Linked DNA regions of Lepisosteus oculatus. The protein of the gene in region 1 interacts with the protein of each later gene in a pairwise test. Links are inferred from orthologs where the notes say so. Each region holds a gene or a part of one and is shown in the gene's direction. Other genes may lie near its edges.

Evidence for each region.
Region 2: the proteins of ap1g1 (region 1) and ubiquitin-like protein 7 interact in binary tests that used the Homo sapiens proteins (3 or more experiments, as listed by UniProt). The two-hybrid records come from large-scale screens. The link is inferred for Lepisosteus oculatus from reciprocal best matches to the Homo sapiens genes AP1G1 and UBL7.

Annotation. Positions count from the first base shown.
Region 1 is NC_090715.1:9,930,975-9,938,632, forward strand, and holds the start of ap1g1 (AP-1 complex subunit gamma-1), read left to right. Parts: upstream 1-4,645; 5' UTR 4,646-4,745; intron 4,746-7,658. Other genes in the region: znf821 (zinc finger protein 821), read right to left, coding at 1,375-1,414. UniProt on the Homo sapiens protein: Subunit of clathrin-associated adaptor protein complex 1 that plays a role in protein sorting in the late-Golgi/trans-Golgi network (TGN) and/or endosomes.
Region 2 is NC_090700.1:51,652,729-51,659,991, forward strand, and holds the start of ubiquitin-like protein 7, read left to right. Parts: upstream 1-4,240; 5' UTR 4,241-4,288; intron 4,289-4,344; exon of another isoform or gene 4,345-4,426; intron 4,427-4,588; coding exon 4,589-4,778; intron 4,779-5,085; coding exon 5,086-5,205; intron 5,206-5,626; coding exon 5,627-5,709; intron 5,710-6,869; coding exon 6,870-6,954; intron 6,955-7,263.

The DNA of each region.
Region 1 (7,658 bases):
CACCTCTGTACTGCTGTGCAGTGGGACGGAAGGGACAAAAGCAGGCTTACTGTATCCTCAAACAAGCCAGGAATAATAATAATCGCTTACACTTATATAGTGCTTTTCTGGATACTCCACTCAAAGCGCTTTACAGGTAATGGGGACTCCCCTCCACCACCATCAATGTGCAGCCCCACCTGGATGATGTGACGGCAGCCATAGTCCGCCAGAACGCTCCCCACACATCAGCTAGTTCTTCACAACTTGAGAGCCAGCCGACATCTTAACAAAGCATCAGGCTTCAATGTAAACCGTTTTCAATGTAAAGCTACGTCCTTGCAAGCTTTACAATATCAATCGATATTGCATTTGGTCGGCCCAGTTTTTGCAAATCAACAAGTTTCAAACGCCAGCATCAACCAATTAAGTAAGACAGGCGAGTTGGGGGAGAGACCAGGATTCTGGAAAGAGAGAGCCTGTTGTGTGTGGACTGCTCTCCTTGGGATGACTAAACAAGCAGCATCTGAGAAAGAGAAACATGATTTCCATCATGTCGTGGTCCAATACTTTACTTTTCAATTAGGCTATGGAACACGTACAAACTCCTTCATATGGATCCGTCCAGAGGCACTGTTCCATCATCTCAACTTTGATCCCAGCTGTGATAAAGTGCTGGGAATGCCCTCCCTCCTCAGGTTGAGAAAAAGGAATATCAATGTTATGGGAATAACATTAGTCTAGTTACCAAATAACCAAGACCCCGGTTAACTGTACACCTTTTTTCTCTACTGCCACCGAGACTCAACTGAACAATAATAGTGTGTTTTCCGTCCACTACAAGTCATTACACCAACGAATGGAGAAGCGTCCCATCACAGGACACTCGCACCATAAGCAACCTCTCTTCATTGCTCCACGTTGAATCCCACGCAGCACTAAAACAAGTGGGCGACTCCCACTCACAGAGTCTCTAGTGTTGTATTGACAGAGCAATGAATTAATTATCTCAAGTGTTTTGTTGACAATTATGAATTAATGACGCTCGTCGGAGTTGCACAGGCAGCTACAATGAAAACAAGGGAGGCGACAAAACGATGTAAGGAGAGATCAGGGTTTCAATGCAGGTATAACACTGAAACATGACACAGTTCTGTATAGAAGCTAACATTTTATAAAATCCGTCGACTTACCGTTTTGAAAATACATCACATACAGAAGTTCAAAACAGGGAGGACACGACAGCCCCAGGAAAACAATCAACTAGCAACATTGCTGAGTTTCGTTCAAAGAACAACCATCACACCAACAGAACCCTATATTGAGGTCCTGCTGGGGCTGCTAACCTTGCTACGATTAAAATAGAGAGAGATTTGCAATACCTGTGATACCTACAATTAACTTTGAAGGGGTTGGTCTGTTTGCGCCTGGACATATTATCCCCTTCTCCCGGCTGAAAAAAACTCGAATCCCCACCTAGACCCGACAGATTTGAAGATTTCCTCGAACAAAAAAATATATATGTTTTCCTTAAAAAAAAAACGCTCCCCTTTTTAGGGAGCAAGACTTCAACGGAGTGAAAATGAAATTTAAAAAATAACCCCCAAGCGAAAACAAATATCTACCCGGGTAGCGATAAAGAATACATTGGTAGATAGTCGGGGGACAATTTTTTAAATGAAGAAAATCGTTTCAATAAAAAAGACGCGTTCTTTTTTCTGAAAAAAATGAGAATCACATATTCCTTTGATAAGACGCCGTATAATTTGTTTTCTACGGTTTGGCCATCTACACACTTAAAAAAAAACGTTTTGAATGAGGTAAAATCCAGCCCCTGGTTGGGATGTTCTTCGCCGATCAGCCCCGAATTGCCCCGAATCTGTGTCGCTGTCGCTCTGCCAGAGCACTGCAGAGACGCACCGCCGACACTCACTCCGTACCTAGACGTCACCCACGCGCAAGGAATTATGGGATGTGCCGTGGAGCTCTTGGAGGACAAATGGTGGTCGTTGGTTGTGCCGTGTAGAAGTAGCGGGTTAGGTCGTGTTTCCCCATCTGTTCCTTGCAACTTGGATTTGAGTTCATCTGGATCAGTGATCGTTTGTATACTGAAGCAGAATTATTCCTTAAGGGATACATACATATGTGGAACATGATCCTTTTTTCCCCAGAAATGTGTACGGGTAATATGTTGCGAAGGCGTTACTCATAGTCAAATACTTCTGACTGTAACGGGTTCGGTGAAATAGACATCGTGGTATACCTTTAGTAGAGGGGATCCCCTACGTCTACTGGCTTTCGTTCCCGACGATATATTTTACTTGGATACTGTATTGAACTAACAAGTTCCCTGGTTACTTTGCAAGTTGTTCAACTTAAAAGTGGGAGACTCCGGGTCACCAAATGAAACGTAATAGTTAAAACAGCCGAGGGCGAATATTCCCACCCAAAGAACCCTGTTTTTCAGAATGTGAACTCACACCAGTTTCTTAAAGCAAAAAAAAAAGTAATTTGTGTAGAAGCCTGGTTTATTCTTAATGTTCAAAACCGTCTTGTCTCGTTCGTAGCACCAACACTGTTCTTTAGACGAAAATGTTTCAGATGTAAATAAAAAAGTATTATGTTCCAATATACTGCTTGTTACCGCGACACAGATCCTTCCAGTTGTAACTGCTTTATTCAATACAGGGGCGCGGGGGCAGGATACACGCTGGATGGGATGGCAGTGGATTGGAGGAGAATATACAAGCTCCAGAGATAGCATCCCACACCCAGAACTGGAACCCAGAGCACAAAGCTGCCAGGCAGCAACGCGAACCACGGCGCCACCGTGCCACTCGCAACAGCGATCTGTTCGCCGCCAACTTCAATGTCCAGCCTTACTCTTCTTCGGCACATCTGCCACCACAAGGGGGAGTACAGAGTACAGATTCACATTTATCTGCATAGCGCTGTGATTTCCCTTCGGTTTGAGTTCTCTATGTCAACAGCAGCACTGTGATTAACATATACATAAATCTACAGCTACATTTTTTAAAATTGCAAGCAGTTGATAGAATATGCCTTGTTATTCATCCTTGCATTATCCAAGTGGATGCTGCACATTGGTGGTGGTGGAGGGGAGTCCCCATTACCTTTAAAGCGCTTTGAGTGGAGTATCCAGAAAAGCGCTATATAAGTGTAAGCAATTATTAGAATTATTATTATTGTTGTTGTTGTTAGCGATATTATAGTACCTGTTGATTTTCTGTCAATTACAAGAGAAATAGACTATTATCTTTCCTTTACGTAGAAACGATGCCCGTTAGTTGTCTTGAGGAGTAATACAGATTGAGTGGAGAATAGTAAGATTACGTATCGATCTTGCCTGATCAAGCAAAATGTGTGTACTGCTTAAATGGTTGGATTGCGGGGGGTCAGTTTTAAAACACACTGAAATTTAATAAAAATATAAAACATTGCTACAGTTTGCACTATTTAAGTTACGAAAGCATAATTCTTATTATACAAATGGAGCAAGATCATGTCTGTACGGTCCAGGAGAGCGCTTGCAATGTTAAGTGGAATACTGAAATTTAATATACGTTATTGTAATATACTTGCATTTTGCTGTTATATCTGCGAATATTATATAATACTGTGCGAACATCTGACTATGATGTTCCTTATATACAAAAATGAGAAAGGTGTTTTTCTTTTTTACATCAGCTAGCTACACACAGTGGGTACATTTCGAGACTCTCGCCGAGTAGGAATGCACCTCGACAGAACCGCAGCCAGCATTCCCAAGAATAGCTTGGGACGTACAATTTCCAAATCTGTGTGTAAATCCTGACATCACATTGGAATTCGGTCATTTCTGTAGAGGCAGTTCCTCCTTTGCCAAAGAGCCTCCCTTCACTAGTGACACGACATAGATCATGACGTCATCACTGACTGCCACGAGGTGAAGTCCGGACCGCAGCACTACTCCTACTCCTGTGCTGCAACCTTTACTTATAACTCCTCCGCTTTACCTACACATAAAGAAAATAGATATGTGGGCATGCTTTCGGCCTCGCTTTCTTATTAACCAAAGATTATGAATTGCAGTGTTGACCAAAATGTATCTCTGTCCTAAGATTTCAGTGGGATTTTTTGCATGGTGACATAGTTAAAAGCATATAACTTATAAAGGTTATTAAAACCTTTTTATTTCTTTTTGCGGATTGGTTAACGTGATAACTCAAGTATTACACAGTTTTATTTCCTGAGAATAGCCTTATTATGAATAGAAAACACTGGCTGAACTTTAGAAATTTACTGTCAAATTAATAGTATAACAGTCAACTTTCACGTTTCCCAAGCATAAGGAAAACACGAACCTAATTTCTGAAAATCTTGTAGCTAACTGACATAGCAGTATAATACATCTCACTTAGGGTATGATTGACATTTATCTGTATTTATCGGTATTGCACATTTATGAACGCTTGGTATTGCCTGCCTCAAGTCAGCTGAAGCCAGTCGAAGGAATATACCCTGCCCTCGGACGCCATGTTGGCTCTACGTCCTGTGAGTTTAAATGGGAGATATGTACTCTCCTTGAGAGCCCGAATGGCGTCTTGTTCGCGAACTTGAGGCTTATATGAGATATTATTCAATGTAACCATCCGCCTGCGGTAGGTGCTGAGGCCGGGAGAGCCGCCATTTTGAATGTCAGGTTTGTTCCTCCCTCCGTCGCAAAGACAGAAGATTCCAGTTTCTTTCTGGTGTCATTACGGCCGGTGAGTATCGCCTACCTGAACACGGGACACCTTAATATTAAATTAGACTTGGAAAATATATGTGCCGCAGCCTCGTCTGACACCGATTTCGTAATGTGGTAAATAACGTCTGATATTTTAGGGGGGTTGCACCGGGGGTTGTCGGTCACGGGAAGAGTGCTGACATTTTTTTCTTAGATTTGCGATGTTTCTGGGGTTAGGGTGTGTTTGTTAAATTCTGAAGGTAATATGCGATGTGCAATTAGTATTGTATGCGAAACGGGTCGTTTAAGGTGAAGTGGGAAGCACCGCCGTTGTTGAAAATCGATGCCGCGAAGAGGCCTATTTTAGCAGGCGAGCGGTGGAGAAAAGCAGGCTCCCTCCCTTATGATTAAGGCCAAGCCCGGACAGGCCTAGCAGGCTATCCGTGTAGTGACTGGACACAAGGAAATGAGGACTTGCGCTCTTACCACAAGAAATAAATGAAACATGTATATCTAATTTATTAGGGCCGCAGTGGAGTCGCACTGCATTCTAATTTGGATATGGCACACTTAGGGAAGTTGGCTCCAAATAGGAGATATTTCCTCAAATCTTCATGGTTAAGTTTCGCTGTGTGTAAAGTATCTGTGTGGCACCTGCAGCAAGCCCTGCTATTTTGGGTTTTCGAAGTCTATTGTACAGGTGAACAGATGGACTTAAGCGGTTGGTACTTATAGTACTGCCGACGCCGTCTATATCGAGCATTAAAGGCGTAAGTATATTCAAATTAAGACAGTAACCCTAACGTGTTTCTAAAAAATGTTGCATTCTAAAATGTACAGTTTAAGGTAGCTTGACAGTTTAACAGGTGTTACAGCTGTATAGTAAGACGATTCACTGGCAATTGGTAAATATATAGATGTGTTGCATCGGTCCTGTGCCATTCGGGACATTTTGATGGCAAGTAGCTACTTGATTTGAGGAACTCTAGCTGTTTCTTGAAGGAGGCAAAGGTGTTGGCTTTGACGATGTTACAGACTCCTGCAACCTTTTGTGTAAAGCAGTGCCTTCTCTTCTCAAGATTTAAGCGTTGGCTTTTCATGTGTCCTCTGATGATGTCCTCTATATCCGATGTTGTAAAGCAGATCTATTAATACGCTTTCAAGTATTTAACAGATCTATTCAAGTATTTTACAGCAGAAAAGACTCGAGTCTAATGTGTACAGCTTATACGTTTGTGGAGTTTCAGGGGTTATTTAATGTAAGTATGTATTGGGTCTACTAATGTACTGTTCTAAAATAATATCTCACTAATGTACTCTACTAAAATTTCCATTATAGGGCAACTGAGATGCTGTAGGTTGGTGAGCAGATTTTATTTCTGCTTGGATATGATCAATTAACAGGAGAGAAAAGCCCAAGAGAGTCATAGCAAAAACTCTGTCATGGTCGTATAAATGCTGAGTGTGGTTCTTTTGATTGCAATTGAATATGTTCAATTGTGATTTTGTCAATACCAGAAGAAGTAAAGGTTTGGTCTTTTGTGTTGGTGCTTTCCTGGGATGTTGAGAATGTGAAAATTCCATCCTAAAGTCATTTCATTTTGTGTTTTGATCTTACAGCAACATGACTCCTGTAAGAATAGTTTGTGCTAAACTTTATCAGTACAGGCAAGCAATTCTAGGGGTAGGATTAAATGAAACAAGGAAGCGGTTTGTCAAATTTCATTGGGTGCCACACATGCCCTTAGAAATACCGAGCAATAGGGCATCTTGCTATTCAATGGAAAGTCATTTTCTATATTTTAATTACCGTTATTCTGAGGAATTGCATTTTGTTTTTTTTTGTAGAATATAGGAGCTCACAGAATTAACTTATTTAAGGCAGGGAACAAATTAATCATTTTACTTCAGCAGCACTCGAGTTCTTATTTTCCTTTTAATGGTTAACTGATAGCTATGAATTTAGGTAGACGTGTTAGTCATTGATCGGCTAATCACAGGCCTGTGTACGCTTTTAGGAAAGAGTTCTGTGTATATTGGACCTTACAGTGTTGGACTTTACATTGAGACAAGGGGAGACTTTAAAACAGTTGATGTTTTAATTGAATGTAAAATTAAATAACTAAATAAATCTGAATAACTGATGTTTGGGGGCTGCTAGTAAAGATTTGTTTTTATTACATTTTGTTAAAACTTATCTATTTAAAGGGCCTTGTACACTGGATGACCAGGGAGTGGGTTCTGTGGTTAATGCACACCAGTAGTAAAGCAAATCATGAGAAGAACACTGATTATAAAAAGAAGAACTGACAGACTGTAGTGACATGACCAAAAGACTCTTCAACAGAAATTGCAAAAAAAGAGTAGATGTACATCATACTTTGAGAAGAAGACAACATGTTTGGAAAACACCACCAGACTGTTTAAATGCTTACGTTCACCTTAAGACGCATGACAGATGTTTCTGAAAACTTGTATCACTAAACAACTAATTACAGAAAAACTGTTGAACTAGGTGAAAGATTAAATACTTAAGATAATATTTTTGTAGTTTGAGAAAGTATCTTGTGATTATTTCATAGTGAGATGCAGTGTATTCACTTAGTTCTTTTATACTACTCGCTTTGCAGTGTTAAGCAGGTTTACTTTCTGTCTTATTTGCATGGCCTGAATTCCAGCCCTTCAGTAATTTCCCTTATGTTTACTGTTGTAGTAAAAATAAGGAAATTTGCTGAGGGGCTGGATTTTTAATGTCTTTCTGGAATAGGCTGTTTGTAATCTACTGCAGCTGCGTTTTTCAGCCCAGATTCAGTAGGTTTCGGCTAAATTGGAAGAAATCCTCAGCAGAATGATAAAGCTGAATGATAGTGTGGATTAGCAGGCTAACCTAAGTCTAAGCACTGTATATTCCCTTCAATACAAAGTATTCACAGACTCTTAATATATTTGT
Region 2 (7,263 bases), on another chromosome or scaffold:
AGAGAATGAAGATTCCTTAAACAAATGCTTTGCTTTAAAAAAACATATGATCTTAATTAGAAATAAACTCATATTCTGATTTATATTAGCCAATCAAACCTACTCTACACAACTTTAGGAAGAACCGGAGTACAGTACATGGCAAACACCCACAGGATCACAGAAAGAATACCACATGGTGTCAAACTCCAGAATCAAACACATGCCCTTGAATTTATAAGGCAGGAGCACTAAATACCACCCCAATATGTAATGACATAATTTGGTTTGCTATACAAATTAATCCTTATCTATTATCCAATCACTTCATCCAATTTGGAATCATGGGGGAGAGACGGATCTTTTGGTGGCAAGCCCATATCTATTAATGATTGTTAATTTTTTTGACATAAGCACTGACTACATAATGAAAAACATTGCAGTGGAAGAACGAGCAAAGTCTTTGGCTGATAGGATAGGTGTCTTCTCTGGTCTCCTGTTGAAAGTGAATGAGTTCTGGAAGTTAAAAGGCTGTCTGCCCTGTACAGACAGTTCAGGAGTTGACTCACCCTCTGTGGTCATGTATCATTAAGCGCATTAACAGATCTATCTTAACTTTCCACTTGCTAAAACCTAAAATATGATGCAAGTGTTCAGTTTTAAAAGCGCATTTGTCATTTTAAACACAGAAACAATGCCAAAGAATTTCTGCTACCCTACCAATTTCCATATGTTGGGGAGATTGATGTTAGACGTGGACGACAACATATTGTTAAGGAGTGGTTTAGAGCCCATTCGTGCCTCTCCACTGTTCTTTGAAATGGTCCAGTATGCTGGATAGAGCAAAATGTTTGACCAAAGTGCAATGGTGAGCAACAGCTTTAAGTTCAGTAAAGAAAGTCCACTTTAATAATAATAATAATAATTGCTTACACTTATATAGCGCTTTTCTGGACACTCCACTCAAAGCGCTTTACAGGTAATGGTGACTCCCCTCCACCGCCACCGATGTGCAGCCCCACCTGGATGATGCAATGGCAGCCATAGTGCGCCAGAGCTCTCACCTCACATCAGCTATCAGTGGGGAGGAGAGCAGAGTAATGAAGCCAATTCATAGATGGGGATTATTAGGAGGCCATGATTGGTAAAGGCCAATGGGAAATTTGGCCAGGATGCCGGGGTTACATCCCTACTCTTTTCGAGAAATGCCCTGGGATTTTTAATGACCACAGAGAGTCAGGACCTCGGTTTTACGTCTCATCCGAAGGATGGCGCCTGTTTACAGTATAGTGTCCCCCTCACCATACTTTGGCATTAGGACCCACATGGACCAGAGGGTGAGCACCCCCTGCTGGCCCCACTAACACCTCTTACAGCAGCAACCTTAGTTTTTCCCAGGAGGTCTCCCATCCAGGTACTGACCAGGCTTACACCTGCATAGCTTCAGTGGGTTTCCAGTTGTGAGTTGCAGGGTGATATGGCTGCTGGCCTATGTAGAAGTGCATTTAGAAATTAGAACAGGAAGCACTGTACCCAGGCTGTGAGGGGTATTTAAAAATCTACCCCAGCCCTGGGCCTGAAGCTGAGACACTGGCATCTTTCCCGACACAGACAGATGAGATCCTTAGATCAAAAGCTACTACCAAAGCTCTAACCTTGGGGCAGATGCAAACTGGAGATGCCATTCTTCCGAAAGTAACATTTCTTATGTTCTTTTAACCAGCCACTAGTTTTAATTAGAAGACTTATTTGTCATTACCAAACTTGAATAAACAATACTCTTAGAAAGATGATAACCATTTTCTATTTTTTACATGCATACATTATACAGCAAATCATAGCTTCATAACCATTCACATAGAGCTTCATAACTCTTTAAATACAGTAGTTACTGTAACTGTTCCCCTTTAAACAGAAGCCTGTTGCATAATGCTCTACTTTTCCTCGTGTGCGGATTGAGAGGTATAAACCTATGGGACTAAAAGATGCATTTTTTCCAATAAAAAACACCTTTATTCCAACAATAACATGGTTATTGTAAAACATTTCAGCATGTAGCACTTTGTAAATGTTTTGCAAATACTGTGTACAATATCACACCAAGTAAATGTTTTTTGGGAATGTTTTCCTCTTTGGAAGCTGTAAGAATGTGATGCAAACCCATCCATTGTAAAAAGGCCACACCACTTAGGAGTTATCTCTGCTTCCTTTCCCATATTCAGCTCTGCAGTACGTAGGCTTTGACAACAGCCTATCCTACAATCACAAAGACTAGAACAGAGATCTGTGAGGACAAAAAAAGGCCTTTATTTTTACACGAAAATTATTTTTGACACGGTGTTAAAAGAAAACAATAAACTGCTTGTTCTTTTAAAATATCAAGAAACTTTTTTTTCTCCCAAATCTGTTATGTTTACCAAAACAAAAAAAAAATAAAGACTTCTCCTTGGCAGAGAAGCTTAAAATAAATAGATCGTAACTGTAAAACAAAGGTGATTATGGTAATCATATCCACAAATATATCACTGAGGTATGATTCATACCATTTTAAGTCCTGGAAAAAAAACACACACACACGATGAAAAATCCTTAAAGACACCGTGGCAGATTTCTCCGTGATCCGTACACATTTCCAGTGTCTAACATACCTCTTCCTAAACCAAAAGTTAATTGGGGAACCTTCTGTAAATATGGCATTAAGACATAGAGGAAATACAGTTGAGAACTCCAGAAACTCAGTATATAGTATACTGCTACGGTTGTCTAGATGCTCCTTCCGACTGCAAAATAAAAATCCGTAACAAATAATTACACAATAAAACAAAGCAGAATTTTAGAGTGTCCGAGTTAGGATTACAGTGCCAATTTCAAGAGGGATGCACGCAGCAGTATCTCCTCTAGCAGGGACCTCCTCCTCGTTTGAGACAGCGATACCATCCAACTCGTCTTTAGTTACAGTTACAGTTACACCTTCTAGCTCCGGCACAGCTTCCGCCGTAGCGGGCTTCGCTGTCCTGGATTCAACCCTGCACCGGCAAGCCCCTTTAACCGTCTCCAGCTCCTCCTTGACTGCTCTCACTTCCGCCTCCAGTCCCTCTTGGGTTGACTTCAGCTCCGCCTTAAGACTGCTGTTTTGAGCACGGAGGAAATCGTTTTCATCCTTCAGGTTCGCGATGGTCGTCTGCGCCACAAGGGAGCTGCTGGGGCTATCGAAGTTGCGTAACTGCATGATGGCTTCAACAGTGGCCTGCTCCCAGGAGCCTTGGGGGTATCGCCCGTCTATTTCAAGTTTCTTTGCAGACCCCGTGGGGGGGCCGCCGCCCGTGTCCTCCAGCAGTGCCTTGTAAACTCTTTTCCTAGCCGGTCTCTCATCCCCACCACTCTTGCTTTCCGTCAGGTCTTCGTTTTCGGAGGACCCCATGTTTAGCACTGGCACTGGATGCTCGGCGGTTGGCGAGCCCTTTACAAAGTGCATCGAGCAAACGACTGTCCCCTTGCCTGGCAGAAAGTCTTTTCTGCCGATTGCTCCCAACCATGCCTGCTGCTTCTCCTTATCACGGGGGAAATAATAAAAAGAGAAAGGCTCAAGACACGAGCACGCATTGTGTTGCAAAGGGGAATGGAGCTCACAAATGTCCCGCCGCCAGATGCTGAGTTTCCTCTGGTTATTAGTGCACCCTGACACAGCGCAACACCTTCCACCTCCTCTTCTATACAGAGCCATTTCTCCTTTTCTCCGCCCAAGAGACAGCAAAGGTCTCTGGGTAATGGAGTTCCCCCAAAAATTACACTAGAATACGAACTAATGAATTCGGACATTTTACGTTAATTTATCAATTTCTTAGTCAGGTCTGAGCGGTGTATTGGTAAAAATTAAGTTAAAGGAATTCCGCAGTTTTGGTATGTGGTTTTTATTTCAAAAACATTACCTAGCAGACATTTAAAATGACAAACTATGTAGTATATCGAATATTGTATCACTACGTTATTAATATTATATATTGAATAAAGTCTAACCAGTCTTTCAGGAAGACGTTATAAATTTATGGTAGAAATTGGTAAAACATTTAGCGTTTTTAATACCGTTTTTGTTTGGATGCAAGTGGAGTTCTTTTGATCCATATGCTTACATTTGATCAAAATGTGAAGTCGAAGGCACTGTTCAGTCAAAATCACTAGCACCTCTATTAGCAGCAGAGTTTTTCCTCTTAATTCTATAAATAACAGAGTGGCGTGTGCAGAGGGAAAAAACTACAAATCCCAGAAATCATCGAGAACTTTTTCCGTTTCCAGGTGACAGAGCATAAGTGTAAACATCGCTCTTTCTCTTTTTTTGTTATTTTTTAATTATGTGTTCATTTAACATTATACTTCTATTTTAAAAAAAACTTTTCTGAATTCATGAAATTCAGTTTTTAAGTCATAGCTAGTTACATAGTCAGATACGGTATAATAGTCTTTTTATGTTCAGTCGTAATCTCGAATGTTAAAAACAACCAGTGTTATTAATCGATAAATCTGATCCAGTTGAGTTTAAAACATGTAATATGCATAATTTTTCTTTATTACTCTACTCAATGTATGCTGTTTATATTTTTGCCTCCTTCAGATGACTATGGCAGTTCCAGAGTGGCGCATTTCACTGAAACTGATGGACCAGCCCTCGGTCCCCAAGTCGGTTCTGCAGTTTCCCGAAACGGAACCGGGAGATGTGGCACCGGGAGGATATCGTATCGCCACACTGAAGCAGCTGGTAGCAGCCCATTTGCCAGATTTAGTACCTGATCCGGAGTTTATAGGTCAGTAAAAACTGGCTTTCAAGAGATGTTCCTTTCACATTAATTCAGTGGTACATAACTCCGTTTGGTGGGGGCGGGATAACATTTTTCAAAAGCCATCAGCTATTGATGATATATAGTCATAGAAAACCCGCTGGATTCTGGTAGCCCAAGTTGACGTTGCACACTTTTTGATATAACCTTCTATCAATCAAGAGGCAGGGGATTATAAAGTACATTATTTTTACAGCGTGTTGGTGCAACGTTTGGAAATCAGCTAGAACACAGGATTGTCTCTCCAATTCAAACGTATGCGTTTATATTTCAGAACTGGTATTTTGTGGCAGAAAGTTGAAAGATGAGCAGACATTGGAATTTTATGGGATTCAGCCAGGATCAACTGTCCACATTTTAAAGAAATCGTGGCCAGAACCAGAAGTCAAGCCAGGTGTGTATGAGCCAGTCCACTCTCTCTACACAGAACCATTTAGTGCTAAGTACGTGGTGTCTGTTTCAGTAATTTAGTGTGGAGCGAAATTGCTGTACTTTCTTTGAAATTGCTTATGCACAGCATTGTTTGGCTTTTTAATCACTGTTCTGTCTTTTGAAAAAAGTATCAAATCTTGATTTATGTTCATGCTAATACAATATTGAAGTCCTGCTGGGGAACAAAATAAATTAAGCCAGTTTAGAGGGCACTGAAGTTTATGACAAAATTACAAGCAGAAATTAAATGACTTCTTTGAACTGAAGCCTTCTTTTTTTAAAATTCAGAAATGAATGGCTATGGAATTTACGAACCGTCTCACGGCTGGCTTTATATTGTGACATCACAGAGTTTTCCATTGTGCTGTACAATTCCTTTTCAGAGCCTGTGGACAGAACAGCTGCTGCCAGGGAGTTCCGTGTGCTTCAGGCAGCTCTACATACCAGTACTGCTTATAGAGACTCGGTGAGACTGCACTGAGAAACTTTGCCTCATACTAGAAGTTTCAACAAACAAGCAAAATGTTTCATAGTTTAAAAAGGAGGTGTTGTGTTTGGAAGACAAAAGATGCTTTACTTACGAAAAGTGAAAACAGCCCCCCAGCATTGCATTACTTGCATTGTGAAATGATGTTCTGCTCAGTGACTTTTATATCTGTCACTTCTGTTTGATTCTGAACAGAAGTAACAGATTCAGAGGGGGCAACAAATAATATTTCCTTAAGTTTCTCTCAGGTGTTGAAGCAAAGCACAAAGTCCCTCAGATAACTCCGAAGTATTTCGCAATGACCATACTTACACTCCTTATAGCCAGGGAATACCAGTGGTACATAGAATGTGTGATTTTGGCTGCTCAGGCATAGTTTGGCAACACAAATATTTATAAAGATAGTTAAACAAATATATAATATACATTTTTTGGCTATATACAGGTATGTTCACTACTGTGTGTCATCCAAGTTCTGCCTTCTATAGACAGTTTTCTACATGAGGTCAAAACACTTTAAAATGGGCAGAGAGAGAACCTGTATTCTAATAAATAAGGATTCTGGAAGGACTCATTTTGTTTAGATTGGAAGCTAAGGAAATGGGAATCTTATTTCCTTGTTCAGAATAACACATCACTAACAAATGAGGGATGTGCTTTAGGCTGTGGATTCACAATGAAGGATATCAATATTTTCAGTATTATTATTTAAGAGTATAGTACCCTTCAAGTGCTGAGATCAGCACTGTGAAGATTCTAGTTTCGTAATCTGTTTTAAGGAGGACAAATGTTCTAATGGCCTAATCACTTCTAGTCTTCCTTCCCCTCTCTTCTGGGATGTGTCTCCTCCCTGTTTATTTTATGTCATATTTATCCTTGAGGCTTAGTTTGTCTTAAGACTGGTCTGTGAAGGCTGGCTTAACGATTTCACCAATAACTATCTGCTCAGTGTTGGATATTGATGTTCTAAAATGGCTTTCTTAATATTTTAACAGAATTAGTTTACCTTATGTTAATGATTACTACCAATCATTCTTTTGATCATCTATGGACTTGATGCACTGCCTCACAAATAGCTATGTAAACATATGCCCATTGTGTCATCCTTTTGGAAGCTGATTGTTTTTCCCCTTATGCAGGTGTTTAAGATGTTAAACAACAGGGAGTCCTTGGACCAGATCATTGTAGCCACGCCAGGCCTGAGCAGTGATCCGGTGGCACTGGGCAAGTAGAAACATCCTTTGAGTATCCATGTCTTTGTATACGTGCTTGCTTGGAGTTGTTAGTTTTAAAGGTTGACTACTAATGGTCTGTGCTGGGTAATTGACTATTGGCCCTTCTAGAGCATTTTATATTTATTCTGTCCTCATCTTCATCATTTTTAAATTATTCACTACTTTTTAAGTATTTCAGAAAATGTCAATATGCAGAGTTGAACCCAATGTATAAAGAAAACCTCTATTTATATTTATATATCCTTTGGATAAACATCACCAGAAGCATCAATACTGAATTATTCAGAGGAATGTATGC